Linked DNA regions of Tribolium castaneum. The protein of the gene in region 1 binds, or shares a complex with, the protein of each later gene. Links are inferred from orthologs where the notes say so. Each region holds a gene or a part of one and is shown on either strand. Other genes may lie near its edges.

Evidence for each region.
Region 2: PolE2 (region 1) and PolE4 share a complex: the UniProt entries of both Homo sapiens proteins name them as parts of the DNA polymerase epsilon complex. The link is inferred for Tribolium castaneum from reciprocal best matches to the Homo sapiens genes POLE2 and POLE4.

Annotation. Positions count from the first base shown.
Region 1 is NC_087396.1:20,065,036-20,069,433, forward strand, and holds PolE2 (DNA polymerase epsilon subunit 2), read right to left. Parts: upstream 2,847-4,398; 5' UTR 2,713-2,846; coding exon 2,645-2,712; intron 2,599-2,644; coding exon 2,436-2,598; intron 2,388-2,435; coding exon 1,996-2,387; intron 1,950-1,995; coding exon 1,688-1,949; intron 1,641-1,687; coding exon 1,405-1,640; intron 1,360-1,404; coding exon 1,176-1,359; intron 1,068-1,175; coding exon 891-1,067; intron 709-890; coding exon 631-708; 3' UTR 444-630; downstream 1-443. UniProt on the Homo sapiens protein: Accessory component of the DNA polymerase epsilon complex. Participates in DNA repair and in chromosomal DNA replication.
Region 2 is NC_087395.1:5,461,808-5,464,314, forward strand, and holds PolE4 (DNA polymerase epsilon subunit 4), read left to right. Parts: upstream 1-1,345; 5' UTR 1,346-1,453; coding exon 1,454-1,666; intron 1,667-1,716; coding exon 1,717-1,857; 3' UTR 1,858-1,873; downstream 1,874-2,507. Other genes in the region: E3 ubiquitin-protein ligase Hakai, read right to left, coding at 603-790, 842-1,049. UniProt on the Homo sapiens protein: Accessory component of the DNA polymerase epsilon complex. Participates in DNA repair and in chromosomal DNA replication.

The sequences.
Region 1 (4,398 bases):
GTTTTTTTAAATGTGATTTTTGGTTGTAGGTAGCTGATATAGAGCCAATTTTCGACCGTCTTTTATTTTTCTGGTCTGACCGGAGAAATCCACATGAAGTCCAACCCGCCTACGACACAAGATATGCAATAACGTTGTGGTATTTCGACGCTAAAGAACGAGCAGAAGCATGCCGGAGATACGAAAAAGAACGTTAGTTTCACAATTTTTTGGAATTTTTGGTTCTGATTCCGTTTGTTTTAGGGCATTCATAGCGCTCGAAAATTGTATCGTGCCACTAACGATCAACTGTGTCCGTTTTGTAACAAACAAACCTAGTACTATGTGATATTTATCGTTTGTTGAAAACTGGTAACAGTTGTGTACTGTTGTATATAATGTGTATTTTTCTGAAAGCTAAACTTTTTTTGATTATTTATGTTTGACAGTGTGATATTTTCTGATTCAAGTCAAATTGAAATTCTTTAATACGTATTGATTTAGGCGGTATTACAATAGGTTATTTAATTCATTTATCGCCGAGGCGACTATTTTAATGTGAATGTAAATAGTGTACAAGTAATTTTCAAGTGTACAATCTAGATTATGTTTGAGACCTAACTAATAAATTTATATGCTATTTTAAGGCTTTCACAGTAGACATTCCTCGATTTTGTCTGTTGCAGGATTGTACGCCTTGAACTGGAACCCGCTCTCACAAAACGAACCCTGAAACATTTTTTTAAACGTGGTCAAGTGTGCTCTGAAAATTGCATGAGCGTATGTCTCTCCTCACACGTACATATAATTATTACATTCAATTAACATTTTAAAATGACGCAAAATTACTTTACAAACATTTTTTTAAACACTAGTTAATGTAGCCAACTTAATTTCAAAATTCAACTTACAGGGTTTATAAGTTGGCACCCTTTGTATTTCCCTTCGTAAGGTTCGGCCTTGTCTCCTATCACTACTAAATCAGGGAGAGGATTTAAACTTAGAGTGTAATCAAAATCCCAATGAACTGTCAAAGCGTTTAAGGGCAAGGGCGACAAATGCCCTTGACTTATTATAGTCCTGGTCAGCTGTAACAAATGCCTCAATTAAAATTCCGATCAGTTTGACCTCAGATATTGAAAATGAGTTGGTAACACAGATTTGCCAACTTAATTTCAAATCACAGTTATTTTTACATTTTCGGACAATTCGCTCTTTTTCGGTTTATGCAATGACGCTTGTAGCAATTTTGGGAGAACATCGGCCCTAAAAATCGTAATTTCCTTATTGCAATATTGCAAACGGCACGGATTAGACGTAAAAACTGCCTTTTTCACCATTTTCGTCATATCTTCAGTTATGCATGACGGAATCGGCAGTCTAAAACACATTAAATAATAAAAAAAGCAAATTAATATTTTTCACCTTGGCACGACGTATGAAGTGCATGGATCCTCCAAACCCGGCACGAAAATAAAATTCGTAACAGTGGCCAAATTCTCGTATTTGTTAATTAATTCAGCTAGTTGTTTGAAAAGTTTCCTCAAAGTGTCCATCTTATTGCTGCTGCAAGACTCTGACATGAAATTCCCCATGAAAACGAACGCCGCAGGCGGGCTGGGGTTGAAACCCTCAAACAGCAATTCAAGTTTTTCAAAAATCTAAAATTTGAATTAAGTTTTGTGGATTTTTTTTTGATCGTTATTACACTAGGGTGGTCAAGCCAAACATTTGAGAAAAACATGAACGAAGCGCCGCGATTTCGTTGTAAGTGATCGCGTAATTTTACGGAGTCTTTGAGGGGTGTTGGAGATGGGCCCCCGAAATAATTTATCGTGTTGAAAAAGGGGCGCGAATTGGCGTATTCCTCCCCTGGGGGTAGAATTAACGTGGAGACTTTGATTATCTTGTCTTCGTAATGTCCGTTAACTAACACAAAACAGTTTTCGGCAAATAAGCCCCCATAGTAACTAAAAATAAAGAGTAAATGAGGCGAAAAAATAAGTGGGGGCTTACACAGCGTGGCTTAAGTCCAGTTGGACGATTCCCGTGGGGTCCTCTAAGTAATATTTGCCTTCAGACACTTGCAATAACGAGCCTAATACCAGAGTATGGTTCAGTGAGACATTCGAAAGTGTTAACAAATAATCAACAGTTTGCAATTCTAATTTAATATTCGTGTTTTCTGTTGCTTTCTGTATAAAATTTCTTTTGGTCCTGTGTAAAATCGTGGCATATCTGTCGGCAAAAAGCTGTGCCTTGGAATCCGCAGAAGACAAAAGTCGGGGCTTATTTTCGGTTAAATAATACTGTTTTCTATCAAGATTGTATGAAACTTTTGGAAAATCGAAAGCGTTTATAACACTGAAAATTGTTTCATTCCTGTCGTAACCAGACTTCAGGCAAACCTAAAATCATTCGTCTAGCCACTGTTTTAACAAATTTTATTTAAAAACCTCCAAAGCCCTGTCTATGTGCTCCTTTTCGATACTGTGCCCCAGAAGGCACTGGTTTTCTAAACTGGAGCACAGATTTTTAACACAATTATCAAAATGGTGTTTGTTTTCTAAATCGATACCTTCTCTGAGAAATTTGGCTACAATTTTGCCACAAAACTCCCTGAAATTACAATAAATAAGTAGTCCAATTTATAATAAAAACACACCTCCGAATATTAAATCCGCCGAATTTTAACGCCGTGTGCAACTTCTTTTTGACTTGTTCAACGTCCATTTCTTTGATTTCTGCTTTGAGTATTTGTAAATTGTGAATTTTTTAGAATAAATAACCTAAAATTATTTCCCGCCCAAATTCTGGTTGGCGTTGGAAAACCCGTATTGCAGAAAAATTGTAAGAGGGAAAGAAAAATTACAGTTATTGCTATGGGTAAATTATTTGTTATATTATAATGCAAAAAAAAGCTTGAAGACGAATTTTAAAACTTATGTAATTATTTTTAGCCAAACGTTTTGAATTTTATCGAGCGTTTTTCGATTTTATGCTTTCAAAGTTGGCATTGCTTTGACGTTCCAAAAGTTTGGTTATTTTATTGTGTTTTTAAAGTTTCGTTTAATTTATTATTTTAACAATAATTATGTGTGCTTTACCGAATTCCTCAACCATAAATATATCAGTTGGTGATTATATTCTGACGCCGGCCTCTTGTGCCTCTTTAGTAAATGAAGTTATGAAAAACCTGTTGTATCAAAGGACCCAAATCCCTTATCCCTATGCTTGGCTCAAGAGCATCGTGAAGAAGAAACGCAAAAGTATTGAAGACGGAGAGGAAGAGAAGAAGACGAATTTTACGCTAAATAAACATTACCAGACTGTTTCAACAGCGTATGATGCTGTTGAAAATATCGCCTTAAACATAGTCAAGTGTTTTACTGACTTGGGGAATAGTTTGAAAGAAGTTATTTTTGTAATTGGCGTGACGCCTGTATGTCCTAAGGAAGTCTTTACAGTGAAGGCATCGTCGCTCGCTTTAGGCCATGTTGAGGGGAATCATGTGATGGAAAATAGCAGAAGGCAGTCCAGGATATTAAGGTAAAACCGCTTTGTTGTACTGTATTTTCAACGCTAAAGTTTTCAATTTTTGCCAGGAATATATTTTTAGAGGAGGTCTGGATGAGTCTAGTAGAAAATTCATTACCTTGTTGTAACACATACATATTTTTGAAAGTTGAAGCGTCTCAAAGTAATTTAAGTAACGTGTGTAATGACAATATATTTATACCATCTAAACCTTTATTAGTTTCTAATAAGATAAAGCAAACTGTTATTAATTTTAATTCAAATTCTCAAGTGTTTTCATGCTGTGATAAATTGGAAGTATTTAAAGATTCTTGCGATGTGGAAGGTCCAGGAAAATGTGAACGTAATTTTAATGAAAAAGACAAAAGTTCAGAAAATGGAGAAACGTGGTTGCAGTCCACAATTGTAATTCGCGGTTTTAAAGATTGTTTTGTAAATAAAGTAGCGGCTTCTGAATTATGGTAATCTTTTAGGGAGTATCAATTTTTAACTGGAATTTTTTATATCTACAATGAATTTTAAGTAAAGAAAATATACCTACATTTTTATGAAAGTGCTTTTTATTAACCTTATATTTAACTTCGTGTTTAATTAAATGAAATCTCCAGTAGAACCCTCTTATCCAGACAAATCCTGGCTTTCCATATTTCCCTTATTTTGCATAAGAATGTTTATGTCGAAACTGCGATATCTCGAATTTTTTGATAACTTGAATGATTGTGAATTCCAGAATCCTGGACCAAAATTTGCTTAAAATCCTTTTTGTTTTTATTGAAAATTATGTATTTTTGCTTGTTCGTAGCGTTACTATTTTCATTCAAGTCTCATATTTCTTTCCTTTTATTTATTTATGATAACTATTACATACTCTATATTTTTGTG
Region 2 (2,507 bases), on another chromosome or scaffold:
CAAAGTTATAAAAATTCTGCTCTCATATTTAATAGAACAGTCAAAATTTAGTTTGTTAAACAAAGTTTTTTTTGTTTGCGCTTAATAAAATAAAAACCAAAATTATAAATTTTTGATTTTTCTCAATTCAAAAACTAAAAACCACACATCTAATTTTCTTTCAGATAATTGTTTAGCATAAAAATGCGCAACTTTGCCCATATTTAACCAACCTCGTATCTCTTATAATAACTGAGATCCCCATGGTAAAGCTGGAAAAACGGACACCCTGTATACTGTTGCCCACTTAGGTGGCAGGAAGTTGAAATTCCAAATTTTGCATCAGTTATATCAGTTATATCTTGAAAAATATCGCAGTTTGTGCAAAAATCAAATTTCAAAAAAAGCGGTTCAAAATCGTTCAGTAGAGGGCGCAGAGTAAAGTGGATAAAAATGTGAGATTTGATTTTGGTAGCCACTGTTGCCAACCTAATTTCTAGTTACAGAGCAATTTGATTAAAATTTAATAAATCCCCGTTTTTAGATTTAAAATGATCAAGCCTTGTTTAAGTACATTTTTGCGGATATTTTAGTAGAAAATGTATTAAAAATAAAGAGTTTACCATTCGTCCATAGATTAAAATCGGCTTCAAACACTTATCACAGCAATGAATCATGGGATTGAGCACTTTTTCGCCAATCAAATTCACTTTATGTGACCAATCTAGCCGCAACATTGGTTCTGGTGGCCCTCTGTTAATTGTTGTAAAAGTCGGTGCTTCCAGTTGGGAGATGTCAGCTTCCAAATCAACTATAACATTCAATTGTCATTCAAGGCTGACTTTAATTCAATTAAATTTACTTTTAGGTGCCACATTTTCGTTAGATTCACTTTCAGTTTGTTGTGCCTCTTCGGACGATTCTTGCAGTTGGGAATTATCCAGTTCTTCATCGCTTTCTATCACTTTTATGGCCTTTTTACCACGTCCGCGACCTCGGCCTCTTCCCCGACCTCTGCCTCGACCACCGCGACCCCGGCCGCGGCCCCTCTTGGGGGTACCATCGTCCATCTATGGGCAGAGTTATTGCAACAAACCCAACAAAACACTAAAATAGATGCGGTCAAAGTTATTACCTTTTATTTACTTGATCGTTGACGTAAGAGCGTCCATAATTTTGAGGTTAAGACTTTGTCAAATGAAGGGATACCAATCCACTTGGTACATCATTCAAAATTGAATACAAACCGCAATAAATTAACTTAATCAATAAAATTATCAATCCCTATCAATATACCGCATAAAAATAACACAACTGTGAGACAATCTAAGCCAAAATTGTATTTTATTACTAATTTTTTTAAATAATTTGGGGGATTTCGTTTTGTAACCACCTTACCTGACTTTGAATAGCGCGCGATTGAGGTTATGTTGTGAAACTTGAGTGGTATTTATTTAAAATTTTAACAAATAAAATGGAAGATATCAACGAAGTGGATATAGAAGAGATTGAGACTGAGAGGCAGCCCGTTACCGAAACGCCAGAATTCGTAGAATTAACCACAACATCCCCCGAAAAACCCAAATTAGTGAAACTACCCCTAGCTAGAATTAAACACATTATGAAAATGGACCCAGACTGTAATTTAGTGAGTCAAGATGCCCTATTTCTCGTGACCAAATCAACGGTAACAAAAAAAATTTGAGTGTTAGCTTAGGTACTCAATTAAAATTTCAGGAGATGTTTCTGGAGCACCTTGCTAAAGAGTCTGGCAAGTTTATGGGGATGGGGAAAAGGAAAACTGTACAGAAGCGAGACGTCGATGCCGCAATTGATAATATACCTAGTCTTTGTTTCCTTGATGGTGCCTTGGAATAAAATACTTTTAAGATTATTTTCAGTTAATTTTGGTAAATCTTATCCTATTTTCGTGTTTGCGCCTTCGCAGTTATGTTTAAAAAAAAAACAAAGAATAAATAGCAGATCTCTTTTCGAATTTGGAAGTTTTTTGTCTTTTCGGCAAATTATTCCTTTCATTTTCACTGAAAAATGTTTCTAAATTCACAATAGAGAACCTAACTAAATTAAGGATTTTCCAATTAGCTTCGGAAAAATCATTTGAATTTACATATTCGACGTAGGTTCATATGTTTTCTCTTTTTTGCCAATGTATTTCTAGATTAGTGAGTTTCTAATTGAAGAACACTCGCAAAATTCTCGAAAAATAATAGGAGTAATAGAATTAACATATTTGCGTCAGATTTACTCTAACAAGTTTCCACTTTATTTAGAACAAATCTCACAAAACGGTGAAATATGTTTTCAAATAAAGTCATATACAGGGTAAACCAGGGGTGTCCAATCGGTCCATAACATTTTAGCTAATTGATATATTGCCATGTCGTTTTTATTATCCCATATAACATGCTGATTCTTTTAGGACCTACAATTAGAAACTTTTTAACTTCTTATAGCTAGAGCTTTAAGATTTTGTATACAATCCAAATCGACCATTCTGAGTTCAACTA